2 linked regions of the Astyanax mexicanus genome follow. The protein of the gene in region 2 binds, or shares a complex with, the protein of the main gene of each other region. Links are inferred from orthologs where the notes say so. Each region holds a gene or a part of one and is shown on either strand. Other genes may lie near its edges.

Region 1 (7,264 bases), on a different chromosome or scaffold from region 2:
TTGATAAAACCGGCTCTGCTCACCTGTATTAGAAGTTCGGCCGTGGGTGGATCAGCGTCCGGTGCTGCCCTTCTGTCAGACTCGTCGTCAGAAGTCGGGGTCACCAATCTGTTGTAGAAATGAAAATTGAAAGGTGGGTCCGCACCCACCTCTCGCCTGGGGGCTACAACTCCCTTACGTGTTCGCTGAACAGAGAGTCTCAGACAGATGGAGTAAAGTTGAAAGCAAAACAAGTATTTATTATAACAGCTGGTACCAGGAGAACACAAATGAGCGGTCGTTGACCGTTCCCCGATATGCTCTGAACCCCCGTCATCTGACTCCCATGTTTTAAACCCAAAATGACGTGAACACCTGGTGATGAGGCGTTGCTGAAATTATCTTATGTCAGCATGCATGGTGTTATGTTGTTAGGGCTGAAGATTCGCTGATGGCTCAAGATTTGCTGGTGTTTTGGCCTTGGAGAAACAGCACGGCTTTGTTCAGTAATTAGACAGTGTTTCACTCCCTGCGCACATGTCCTCCCTCACTTGACAGGTGAAGGCCTTCACGCGCACAGAGAGAGAAAGACTGTACTGTTTGTCAAACGTCTTTTGTATTTAAGCAAGGCCATGCAGAATGCACTATCTGCTGATTTTGTAGCTGTTAGTTAGAAAACATGCAATCACACAATGTGGTTCAGTGAGGCGTCAGTGGCGCGTGATTAGTCAGCCATATAATAGGTTCCCATACGTTAGCAAAAACTCCCTTATGTTATGTATCATGTGGGTTAGTTTGTCAGACTAAGGTCTGTGTCAGTCACATGCTTGTGAAAAACAATGTCTTACTATATGTGTGGTTTAGAGGTTAGTTTTCTATATAAATGTGTAAAAAATATACTGTGAGCGATAAAATGATCAAATATAGTGTTAGTATAAATGTGTGAATAATATGTGAATAATAAAATGATCAAATGTGGTGTAAGTATTGGTTAATGCATATAAAATACAAGGTTTTCACAGATGGTAAGTAATCATGATTGTTAGGTGTTTGTCAATATATTTCAAGGTAAACAAGGTTTCTTCGTAAGATTTCCCACAACAGTGTTTGAAAAATACTCAAATGTATTAGTCAGAAAGTAAAATAAATTACAATGGGAAAATTCTACCTATTTTACTCATTTGTAAACAGTAACAACTAAAACTTAAAAATGTATAAGAACATATACTCAGATACTATCGGTCCCCTGTGCACTTGTTGTGGAGTTGAGCTGCTGTTTTAAAGGTAAGATTTGTTAACATGTTTCTGTGTATGAGCTCAAAAGTTGATGTATGTAAGTATTAGTTCTATATTAAGATCTGTACTCAGTGTGCTCGAGTATAACGATGATTTTCACCTTCTGGCACAGGCTGGCTCTTGTAGCAGGTTAATTATTAACACATGTAGCCAGTGCTAACCCCTCTGTTCAAGCAAAGTTAGCTAAGTCTAGCTAGATTTACTGCTCAGCTGCTCAGCCCTAATAATAAACTGTAGCGCTATCTAGCAGTTTACAAAGTAGCAGTGTGCAGGTTCGTGGTTAAAGCGTTAGTTACTTTAAACAAGCTAGTTATCCACTACATGTTGTATTATTGGGGAAATATGTACATGGGCATGGTTTGCATATAGCTAATGCTAATTAGGTAACTAGCTTACCTAGCGCATTCACTGTTGAACATAATATCAGGCTTTTGACTCTTTGTTTGTTTGTTTCAAGACGAGTTCTATTGTCGATTATTGACGCATGTTTTAGTCAGTATAACAGGGTAGAGGTCACTGGTATAGCTTTTTGCTTCCAAATAAGTGAAGTTCGCAGAGGTTCTCACTCCCAGCTGGATAAATTAACTAGTTACTTTGCTAATGCTAGCTAATCTAGGTTAACTAGCTAGCTAAAGCATTTGGCTAGCGTGCTAATTTGTTGTGTGTAAGAGGTTGAAGACTGGATAAATTAACTAGTTAAATTATTTTGCTAACACTACCTTACCCAGCCTAGGTTACTTAGCTAGCTAAACCATTTGGCTAGCGTGCTAATAGAGAATAGAATCGTGATGTCAGCAGACATGAACAACGCAGTGCATTGTGGGATTTTAGGAAACTGATACTATGGCAGAGACAGGCAGAAATATATCTCTATATATATATGGTGATTAGTGGATAAATTAGCAGAGTTAATTTAGTGTGTGAAAGTGGAAGGTGGTTGGATAAATTACTAATCTAGGTCGGTTAGCTAACTTATCCAACCACCACCCTCTTCCACACACCGAGTTAGCTAGTGTGCTAGTGAAAACACTTTCCTAGTGAATTAGCTAGCTAGTTTAGTGTGTGGAGAAGGGTGGTTGTTAGATAAGTAAGATTGTTAACTAGCTATCAAGCTGGATAAGTCATTATGGTGATATTTCAATAGGTATAAGAGGCATGCACAGTGTGCTGGAGTTTCAAAAATAATTATGTTGCTAATAATTAGTAATTCCAAATGCACAACAACCCTTTCATTACCAGTGATTTTCTAGTTAAATAGCTAAGTGGTAAAAAGTTGAAACATGCTAGTTTTGTTGGTGCCAAGTTCTGCACTAGTTTTAGAAGCAGAGACTGTAGTTAAGGAGCTGGTTGGCAGTTTAAGAGTGACATTTACACAGTCTGATAAAGTAACTGAACTAATAATTTCAGTTGTATGAAAGTAAATGTGGACTCTTCTCTGTCTGCAAATCTGTGTGTGAAGGTCTAAATGTTCTTTCCTGTGTTCTTTGGGTATACCAGTTTTCATAAAAGATATATAAACTTTACAAACCATTTGTAAATGTTTATGAAGAGGCTGCCTGACTAAATTGAACACTGAATGATGTGCTGAAGCATAAGACTGTTTTTTGTGTAACTAATAATTATGAAGTAAAAAAAAAAAGTCCTGAACATAATGTTTGTTGCAAGGCCATACATTTTCTGTTGATTTAGTTCATTTGCAGCACTGCTCCTCACTCAATGCTGTGTACAAGCCAGCGTTTACAGACCCGTCACAAATTACTCCCTGCATCCTGCACTTAAACCCACCAGTCCAATAACATGTAGCGCTATAGGGACGATTTTTGGGACCTAGCCCATTTACTGGTGTATCTTGTAACATCAGTAGAATTCTCTTTGTCTATATTTCACACCTGATAGTTCCTAGATTGGCCTTTTCTATTCCCATCTCGGGACATGCTTTTCACTAGAACTACAATTCCCAGCAAATGAAAAAATCTCTTTTTCATGCTCTGCAGAATTCTATAACTGTTGTCTTCTGTTAATTTCCATGTGTATGTAAGACTGTTTATTGTGTTGTTTTTTTGTGTATTGCCTCTGTTTATCCAGCATTCTCTTATGGTTTATATTTTTGTGTATTGCCCTCTTGAGAATTAAATCCTCATCTACTTTTTACCGCAAGTATCTGACGTCAGTCAAAAATTATACAATCAGTTCTACAGAAATCACACACTAATTCTATTACTAGAATATATCTGTCTGTTTTGAATTATCTGAGTGTAGCTCACAGCAGCAGAACACATTCAGTAATAAATTATTAATGATGCACTTATACTAATGAATCCATTATTATTAAAAATGTTAGTATGTCTCTAGAGCTCTAAAGCAATATAGTAAGAATATTATATCCTGTGTCGGTTCTAGACCATTTCAACACGGGGGCCAGTGGTCTAGGGCCAGTGTGCTATATGATTTTACAGTGCTTTGCAGCATTAAGAATAAAGAGTTTGCATTCAGTATCATTCAATTTTTAATTTAGGAATGATTCTTACGTTATTCGCTCATATTTCATACAAACAGATGAACAAAAATCATCGTTAAAACTTTTGCTTTGCTTTAAAGTGTTGTACCTTTTTCTGTTTCATACACAATTTACATCAACAAATCAACATATTCTCAGTTTTAAGGTCAGATTATATTTTTACATTATTTATATATACATAATTTGCCTAGAATAAAATGTAGATATTACAGATGTATGAATTCCACTGATATTAGAGTTATTTGTTCTGAGTTACAATATATTTTCCAGCTACACTAGTTTTAGTTCAGTTTCTTACGTTTTCTTTTGTTACACTCATTGATTAATGCGTTTATCTGTTTCAATAAGCTTTTATTTTGTTATAAACTCTATATTTTCTCAAACTAGTTTATTAGTTAGTAGTTCATTTAGAGACTCAAAACTGAAAAAAGACTTTTATTTTGATAGAAAATCGTTTTGAGTGCTGAGGAACGTTGTGTTTCCGGTGTTGTGTTTGAGTCCGGATATATTTCTGAGGAACACCGAGTGTTGAGCGTGGTGGCTAAAGTGCGGGTGAGTGTTTATAATTATTATAATATTTGTAACATTTTACTGATAATTATATTCAGTATTAAACACAGTCCGTTGCAGCGCAGTTCACTCCGCGGGTTTAGCCCGGCGAGATTTACTGTGGACTGGGGTAAAATGCGGAATCCGTTAAAGTATTGTGTACTAATCTACATACCGTACTTACACAGATAACTAAGTTAACTATGTAGGTACTATCATTAATTCATGACTGTATTCTTTAATTCATTTATTTACTCTTTTATTCATTAATTTCCTCTAATTTATTGGTTTATTCTTTCATGTATTAATTTCCTATTTTATTGATTAATTTAATCTCTTATTCATTAAGTTACTCTTTAATTCCTTAATTAGCTTTTTATTTATAAACTTGTTCTTAATTAATTAACTTGGTCATGCTCTGTAACTTAATTTTAAGCGCAAAATCATAAGTCTCCTTCACTAGAGAGAGACATATTTTTATACACATTTAGCTACTGTTAATTTACTGAATTTAGAACATGTTATAATTAAGTGTATAAAGAAATAGTAAATAGATGCTGTGTCTAAATGGAAAAAGCCTTTTTAATTAAAAAAAAAAAAGATTTCTTCACCTTGCCCAAACACACGAGAAGCATGTTATTATAATTATTAGTGTCTCACAGAGAATTCTAATTTAATAATATAACACAAATGAAAATGCTTTTAGTGTATTAAACCAAGTTAGCAATAAAAATGCAAAACCCAGTTCTACTGATTATTCAAATCTGTTATATTTTAATTATAGCACTGTATTAAAAATGTTCCATTATTCAAATTTCAGTGAACTATGGTGTGTGTAGTAGTGTTAGAAATTAAGAGTATTAGAAGTTGAGTTGCTTTGAACAGTGCTTTAGATTTCCATACAGAATGAAAGGTAGATATAGATTATATAGCTGCATCTTTCTTACATTTTCTTTTTTTTCTTACATTTTTCTTAATCTTGTTAGTATGACTGTTTACCTTTACAGATTGGTCTATTTAGAAATGTATTCTGTTTGTTTTAGTTCAGAGAACATGTTGAAGGAATTGACAAAGTATAAATAAAATATGGAGACCAACAGCCCAAAGTAATCCAGTTCCTTACAGATATCACCTGTGGCTTCCAGTACTTTAAACACTAAAATTAATTTGATTTAATTCTGATTCCAGATTAACAAAGCATCTCTTCAGGATGATTATCCCAGTGCGATGCTTCACCTGCGGGAAGATTGTGGGCAACAAGTGGGAGGCTTATTTAGGTCTCCTTCAGGCAGAGTACACAGAGGGGTGAGTGTTGAGTAGAATGAGCTGCTTTAGAGAAATATAACACCATCGATATCGTCACAGGATTTAATATGCAACTATTTACTTACATGCATTTCTTCTCCATGAATAGGTTTAAAATAAGTTTTTTTAGACTTTTCCCCAGAACATGTGTAACAGTGTCTGGGGAGGTGGATCTTTTACCACCACTGTGAACAAAATGTAACTGCAGAGGTTCTCTAAAACTCACCGTCTTACACCAAACCCATTTAGGATGGGTAACTGTTTAATAATAGTTCTGTACAGTGGCGTGAAAAAGTATTTTGCCCCCCTACAGATTTTTTTTTGTTTTTGCTTTTTTGGTCATAGTGTGATTTTTCTGATTATCAAACAAACTTTAATATCAGACAAAGATAAGTAAAAGTAAGTAAGGATAATTTTATTTAATAAAGGTAAAAACTATATAAACCAATCTAGCCCTGTGTGAAAAAGTGTTTACCCCTAAACCTAATAACTTGGTTGTTCCACTCTTGGCGGCAACAACTGCAGTCAAGCTTTACTGATAACTGGCAACGAGTCTTTCACATCTCTGTGGAGGCATTTTGATCCACTCTTCTTTACAGAATTGTTGTAATTTAGACACAATGTAGAGTTTTTCCAGCATGAACGGCCTGTTTAAGATCATCCACCAGCCTCTAAACGAACTTTGACTAGGTTAACTCAAAACCATTGTTTTTTTTGTGAAGCCATTCAGAGGTGGATTTAATTGTGTGTTTTGGATCATTGTCCTGCTGCAGAATCCAAGTACGCCTGAGCTTGAGGTCACAAACAGATGGCTGGACAGTGTCCTTCAGGATTGTCTGGTAAACAGCAGAATTCCTGGTTCCATCTATTACAGCAAGTTGTCTAGATCCTCACATTACCACCACCATGTTTTACGTTCAGTATGATGTACTTTTTCAGAAATTATGTGTTAGTTTTACACCAATTTATTGGGACACACACTTTCCAAAAAGTTCCACATTTTGTCCTGGCAATCATTTAAGATGTTTTTTGGCAAATGGAAGATGGGCCATTGTATTCTTTATGGTCAGCAGTGTTTATTGCCTTGGAAATTGGAGACCATTTTCATCCAGTCTCCTTTTTATTATTGAATCATTAACACTGACCTTAACTGAGGTAAATGAGACCTGCAGTTCTTTAATAGTTTTTTTTTTTTCAAGTCAAGAGGCTCTTATTGTCATTATATCTGAGTACAGGTACACAGTGTGATGAAATTATGTTCCTCCGGAACCATGGTGCAACATAGAACAACAAGCAATAGACAACATAAAGTGCAGGAGTGACGACAGTGCAACATAAAATTATAAAATTATAACACTAAATAACAATAAATACAATAAATACAAAGGACAAGACAATTTAAAGACAGGACAGTGCAGTACCGATACGGTATAATAAGTGTATAGTGGGGATAAGGTGCGGAGATGTGTGACATACTGTAACATATAGAACATATATAATCACAGCAGTTACTGAGGTAGAGTTTATAGTTTTTAAGAGTGCAGCAAATAAAGTCATGTCAGCCTCTGTGTGCTGACTGGGTGTGTGTGTGGGTGAAGTTCAGTTCTTTGTGAGTGT
Region 2 (7,308 bases):
AACAGTATTATGATTGACAATATGATTAAAAATATAACATCACAATATAGCGACTGCCGAAAAGCAATGTCTCTCAAATGTAAAGCCACCACAGGTCTAGCACCTCTGCTGGCTGGTTGCAGTATGAAGTGTAGCTCTAACTGTCTATGAACATCTTTAAACGTGACGTTTAATCACTGGTGTGTGCTGATAGACTCTCTCGCAGCAGCTCATGGTTTTTAACTCAAACATAGTAACTTCAGTTTACATGAAACGGCAAATCAAACTGAGCTGAGCATATTCTTTATCACAATGTCAAAATTGTTCATGATATACAGCTCTGAAAAAATTTAAATGACCACTTTAATTTCTGAATCAGTTTCTCTGATTTTGCTATTTATAGGTATAGGTATGTTTGAGTCAGATGAAAATTGTTGTTTTATTCTATAAACTATGGACAACATTTCTCTCAAATTCCAAATCTAAATATTATTTTATGTAATTTAGAGTATTTATCTGCAATTAAATGAGAAATGGCTGAAATAACAAAGACGATGCAGAGCTTTCAGACCTCAAATAATGCAAAGAAAACAAGTTTCAGAAATCAATATTTCGTGGAATCATCTGGTTTTTAATCACAGTTTTCATGCATCTTGGCATGTTCTTCTCCACCAGTCTTACATGCTGCTTTTGGATAACTTTATGCCACTCCTGATGCAAAAATCAAAGCAGTTCAGCTTGGTTTGATGGCTTGTGAGCATCTATTTCCCTCTTGATTATATTCCAGAGGTTTACATTTTTTAAGTGGTCTCTTATTTTTTTCCAGAGCTGTATAATAAAACACTGTCATACTGCCCACCTTTAAAATATTACTATAATAGTAGGGTAGTAGTAATAAATATGTATGTAAAATATATCACCATATTTCATCTTAAATTGAAAAGAGCACAATTAATCTTTAGTTGAAATAAGTGCATCACAGTAAACATAACTAAATATAGTACAGTGCAAAACATGCCAGTCTATCTTTCTCTGCCGTATTGCCTGAGAGTCTTAATTAGGTAACACTGTGTGCTAGAGAAAACCATCTGGACAGATGCACAGCTGTAAACAAACTCTTCAGTACGTCACTATTTCCCTCAAGACCAGTCTGCCTTGCTTGTGTTTTGTTGTTTCTTTGGACTTGAATTTGCACAGCAGGTGGAATTCTACTCTTCTCACTTTGGCTAAAGATTTCCTTCATTCTGCTCACCTTCAGACGGATGCTCAAAGCCACAGTCCACTATGGCCCTCAGAAGCTCAGGCTTCAGAAGAAAGTCCCTGAACCCTGAGGAGTGGATGGACACATAAGAGCCTTTGACCCCCTCCTTTCTTATGGTCATGGCACCACTGTCACCGGCAAGCGTTCCATCCCCGACGCCACCTGCTGCATCTACTTCATCCTCCTCATAGTCTAACAGCTCGTTCTCCACGTCGTTCTCAGTCATTCTGAAAAAGGGGAAAACACTAATTAAACATTTAGCCTGTAGATCATTACCCTGAGAGCAAAGAACGGTATACGGATATATGAATAGAATACAAACATAATATACATATTTAATTTAAGTCAAGTTTAATACAAACAATAAATATAAAATCATAATTTTGAATCAATGTTTGAATCAAAGTTTACACATAAATAAATTCTGGCAATCAACATTGTTTCAACATATGTAAATGTTGATTCGGGAGCTGAGTGGTACAGCAAGCTAAGTGCTGCAACTATGATCAGGAGATTGCTGGTTTGAATCCAGGACATGCAGCTTGCCATCTGCTGCCAGAGCCCCGAGAGAGCACAACTGGCTTTGCACTCTCTAGGTGGGTAGATGGCGCTCTTTTCCCCTGATCACAGAGACTGACATGACTTTATTCCTTTCAGCAATATTTGCTGCACTCTAAAAAACTATAAACTATCTACCTCAGTAACTGCTGTGATTATATATGTTCTATATGTTACAGTATGTTACACATCTCTGCACCTTATCCTCACTAAACACTCTATTATACCGTATCGGTACTGCACTGTCCTGTCTTTAAATTGTCTCGTCTTTTGTATTTATTGTATTTATTATTATTTAGTGTTATAATTTTATCTGTCGTCACTCCTGCACTTTATGTTGTCTATTGCTTGTTGTTCTATGTTGCACCATGGTTCCGGAGGAACGTAATTTTATTAAACTGTGTACCTGTACTCAGATGTAATGACAATAAAAGCCTTGACTTGACTTGACTTGACTTGATCAGCACAAGGCACCTGTGAGCTGATGTATCAGAATCAAATTGCTGCGCTTATGCTCTGATAAAATACTGACTGATACTATATTAGGATACTGATATATAGCTGCTCAAAAAGGCACGAACAGTAAAACTGATGTAAGTAAACATCTGCACTGCAAAATCTAAACATGAAGGGAAGTCATACAATATTATATTGCCCAAGCAATAAGAAGATTTTGTAAAGAAACATTATTCTGTAAGTATCAACATAACTGTGTTCAAATTGTTAAATATAAATATTATTTTATGATACACAAAATGAGTATTTCTCGAATTGTATTATGATTAGGCATTTAAATGTGTTGATATTTACTTAATTAAAGGATCAATATTTGCAGATATCATATTCTTTATTACAGTTTAAGACAAGCCTAATATGCACATATTCCTTAAAAGCTATTTTGCCATCAATTTGTAGCTTTTACAGTAAAGTATTGACATTTTAGAGACTCTGTATTGTATGCTAAGATACTAAGGTTCTGTTTAACCTGTATTAACTATTTAGTAGGGATGCTAGGGGTGGGCAATATTATATCGTATACAATATATCGTGACACAGAAATATCGTGATATTAAAAAATCCATATCGTGATAATAGGGCTGTTCTGTCTTAAAAGTAGTCTATTATTTACTGTGAAGCTTTAGGTGTATTTATTGTATAATTGTTTTAGTTTGCAGTTTATATGCATGCACTAAATATTCTGCAATATTTTTGCTGCATTATATTATTTTATGCTATATTATTTATTTTGCCACATTATGATTATGCTGTTATACTCTTATACTATATTCCTGAAATTAATTAATTATTTTAGTTTTCCTACATCGCCAAGTATATAGTTACCGCAAAACTACCCTGAAATATCGTGATATTATTTTATAGACATATTGCCCACCCCTAAGTGATGCACAATGATATCGGCCAATACTATTATTTTTTTAGAATATTCAGCAATGATATGGAAATATGGCTATTATTTTAAACCAATACTTACTTACATATTTATTGTATTCCAGAATTTTTTATTATAAATGTGTATATCGGATATAGACATCGGCCCAGAATTTTCACATCGCTTCGTCCCTACTATTTAGAAAGATAAAAAAGAAGATCATATGATTAATTATCTGTAAATTAGATTTAGTAAATATTTGGTAAAATCTCAATTGCTAATGTCATCACTAGTCACAATCCCAAACCAAATAAAAAAAAATATAAAATTTTTACATAAAAATATAAAAAAACATCTGAAACTGAATATAAATTAGTTAATATTATTTTTTTATAGCTTCTCCAAGTGTCCTGTATGAGACTTTAAAGCCCTCAAATTTTCAGAATGTAATTAAGTTATTTTACTGCAGAAAAAAGGGTTTTGTATCACCTGCACCTGTAGCTCGTATACGGGAGAAGGCATTAGGCACATATGGCAACAACCAACGTGTTTTGCTATTTAAAAAAGCAGTAATAATATTGTACCATAGCAATTTTATATGAAAATATAATCAATACATATATAATCAATACTGCACAGCCTTGATGGGCAACATTAAATATAATACCCACAGCTGACGGATATGACCATATTAATTATAAAAATGATTGTAATGAATGGATGAAGTTTGCAGGTTTCAGTATATCAGCTGCACAGGGCTGCTGTGTATATATCTGCAGCAGCATGTGTTTACAGAGCAGCTCACACGCGCTGCTGCACTACAGACTGGTGCACAGAACAACACAGCCAGCGCTGCATGTGTTTAACCGCATTTTATCAGATATAAACCCTCATTTACCTGGATTAACTGTGAGACACTCCGCGGTGTGTTTTTATTTCACCTGCTCGCTGCTGCTGCTCCCCTGCACGTCATTTGCTCTGAGACGAAGGGCCTCCCTCCCACCAGCAGCTAGAGCTGTCCTCCGCTCCGCCTGAGCTCAGCTCCGCAGGCCGGCTTCTGCTCTCAGGGATCTGTCGCTCAACTCCTCCGCTTTCCAGCTCGGCTTTAGCGACACTACTGGATTTAAGAGCTTGTTTAGACGGTAAGTTAAGTGGGTGGAAACCGCAGAATGTCGGGTTTAGTTGTGTTGGTAAACACGTGTTTAGGTGTAGTTGATAGCTAAAGTTGGCTTCTTAAGCGAAATATTCGTTCCACCTTAAATCGTGCTGTATTTACACGGGCAGCCGTTGAGGCACGAGACTATAACTGCTGAGTCTTTTAAGGTGGAACTGAAGTTTTCGTCTTGTCGTGGTTAGCATGGGTGCTAACTTCTTTTCTTCTCAACTTGGATTAATTACTTTAGTTAGCATAAGTCACACATTTGGATCACTTGTGTGTTTTAAAATTGTTTTATTATCTACATTTTCATTCTTTTTTTCTTTTTCTTCTTTTCTTTTTACAATAAACCAATGATAATACAAGTTATTAAAATTTAACTGGAACTTTCCTTCCACGTAAAAAAAAATCCAGCTGTTGCATACAGTTGTCATATAGTTTGCTATATTAAAGGTTTCATGCCATCGTTTTTTCATTTATTTTATTTTATTTCTGGTTGTGGTCTTCAGTATGAATAAAAAAAATAAAAAAATCTGTTGTTTTAGTATTTAGCGGCTTTAGTCCGGTGGAGGAGTGGGAGGGAGAAACATGTGTTGTTACTCTAGTCTCAGAGTTTCTGTAAAACACAAAATCCACTGGAGATCCTATGTAAACTATAGTTACACAGAGGTGGGTAACGTTAGTCCAGTTCCAGAAAGTAAAAATCCATTTTTTAAATGTTTAACTAGTGTAAACAGAACTGTTTTTAAACATACACTGACCTATCTCAGTTGGACTTCGCTGGAGGTGTACCATAGACAGATTTTAACCATTTTTCCTTATGTCTGTATACTTCCGGAGTTTACTATAGCAAGTAATTGTAACGTTATAGTGTTTATGGTTCAAGAAAACATATAGTCACAATAATGCATGAATTAATATCCTGTTATGCCTCATCGCATATGCTCAAAGTAATTGTAAGTGGATAAAATGTATATACAGAATGTAGAAATGTATATAGTGTTATAGTCACAAATGTGTGTTTACAGCTAATTAGTTAAATATGGTTTTATGTAAAGTTACTTACTGGTACATAAGTTTGTGTGTATTTGTTTTAGTAATGCTGATGTGAACATATTAATAATTATCATGAAGTAGGATTGTCATGTATAACTTTACAAATTAGTATTTTAATTTAATGTTTGATGATGTGCATTTATTTCCACTCTTGATGTAGGACCATGTCTTGCTTCCAAGGAGATATAAACTTCTGTCCTGAATGTGGTAATATTCTACCAGTCCCTGGAATTCAGAATACCATTACATGTCCTCGGTGCTCATTCGACATTCCTGCCAGTGGTGAGATTTCATTTTGGCCTAAAGATATTTAGATATACTTAGTGGCCACTATTAGAAAAACCTTCATGTTGGGGGAAACCGGCCAGCATGGCCAGCTTAAATCAGCTTGTTGATCAGCATATAGTATGTTTTGTTTGATGTTTCAGCTGGTCAACAAACATGATCAACCTGGCCAACCTTACCAGTATGTTTTTGACTAGATAACTGGCTTGTCAACAATTTTGATCATCAAATATCAGCATAGATCATCTAAAGCCAGACACCAGTAAAAGCTGGTCTGCAACTGGATTTTTGATCAAGCTGATTTGACGTTCCACCTTGCTGGTGTACAATAAAAGACCATAGCCCATCTGTTGATGGACTGTTCTTGTTATTTTGTAGTGGCAGAGCTACTACCTAGCAGTGGCATTAATTTGAACATGTCATCACCATCCAGATCCAATTAACGTCTGCTCAGAGTTATGTGGTAGGTGTACCCTCATAGCGTGTTTGGAGAAAGAATGGACAAGGAAGGAGTTTGTAATTAAGTAGACAATCTGAGAAATATACAGGGGGATTTTTACCTACAGCCAGGACAATGTTTAAGTCAACTTTTTTTTCTCCTCAGGTTTTGCTGGGCAGGTTATCAAGTCATCTGTAGTATTTAATCCGTTGGTGCAGAGTTCTACTACTGTGGAGAGTGAGGAGGATTCTGAACTAAAAGGCCCTGTGGTAAGTTGCCTAAATTTAACACTAAAAAATTTTGTTAAATAATCTTTGCCCTGCAACAGTTGTTTAAAGAGTGAACAGTGGACAAAAAACATTAGGGAATGTGAGCATTTATAATTGTTATCTTCTTCTATGCAAATTCTTCACCAGGTGGACAGAAGGTGTTCACGCTGCAATAAAGAAGGAATGGTATACCACACAAGGCAAATGAGATCAGCAGATGAAGGCCAAACGGTGTTTTTCACGTGTATTCACTGCAGGTAATGTCAGAGTGACTCCATTAATAACTCATACTGCTAAATGCATTGATTTCTCTGAGGTGCAGGGGTGCTCTGAACAGAGTAAGGTTTATATTGATTCTTTTTCCACAAATCAAGGCAGAGTGAAAATGAGAGAGGCAAGAACATCTGTGTTTAAGTTTCAATTTGTCATTCCACTTACATGAACAAGACAACATACAGTTTTTCTGCCACAATCTATAAGAAATCACAGAAATCTACAGAAGCTAATTTCTTTTTTATTTCAATGTTTACATTACAGGCACCAAGAGAAGGAAGATTCATGAGATGTTTGGTGTTGTCCGACTTGTATTTGATCATTGATCAACAACGTGAATCCAATATTGTGTCTGCACAAGATGTAATGGAAAAAGACGCCACAAGGACTTGGACATTTTTGCTGTACATTCAAAATGTTTTGTATCAAAAAGAAATGAATAAAAAATGTAATATAAAAAATGTGAGAAGCACAAGCATATGTCTTTCTTTTTACCTTGTTATTTCTGTCTATATCTGCAGTAGACATTTGTAGTAATAGCAGTCTTGTGTTCAGTGTTTTGATTTTAAGTTAGAATAAGTATGAGGGCAAGTTAAATATCAAAGAAAGCAGCAGAATCCTTAATTAACTACACTTTAAGGT

Evidence for each region.
Region 1: polr1h (region 2) and polr2l share a complex: the UniProt entries of both Homo sapiens proteins name them as parts of the pol I pre-initiation complex. The link is inferred for Astyanax mexicanus from reciprocal best matches to the Homo sapiens genes POLR1H and POLR2L.

What each region holds. Positions count from the first base shown.
Region 1 is NC_064423.1:9,009,354-9,016,617, reverse strand, and holds the start of polr2l (DNA-directed RNA polymerases I, II, and III subunit RPABC5), read left to right. Parts: upstream 1-4,240; 5' UTR 4,241-4,345; intron 4,346-5,530; 5' UTR 5,531-5,552; coding exon 5,553-5,647; intron 5,648-7,264. UniProt on the Homo sapiens protein: DNA-dependent RNA polymerase catalyzes the transcription of DNA into RNA using the four ribonucleoside triphosphates as substrates.
Region 2 is NC_064410.1:37,556,936-37,564,243, reverse strand, and holds polr1h (DNA-directed RNA polymerase I subunit RPA12), read left to right. Parts: upstream 1-4,196; 5' UTR 4,197-4,330; intron 4,331-4,889; exon of another isoform or gene 4,890-5,013; intron 5,014-5,560; 5' UTR 5,561-5,564; coding exon 5,565-5,682; intron 5,683-6,289; coding exon 6,290-6,393; intron 6,394-6,540; coding exon 6,541-6,650; intron 6,651-6,930; coding exon 6,931-6,955; 3' UTR 6,956-7,141; downstream 7,142-7,308. Other genes in the region: ddx39b (DEAD (Asp-Glu-Ala-Asp) box polypeptide 39B), read right to left, coding at 1,232-1,466. UniProt on the Homo sapiens protein: Core component of RNA polymerase I (Pol I), a DNA-dependent RNA polymerase which synthesizes ribosomal RNA precursors using the four ribonucleoside triphosphates as substrates. Can mediate Pol I proofreading of the nascent RNA transcript.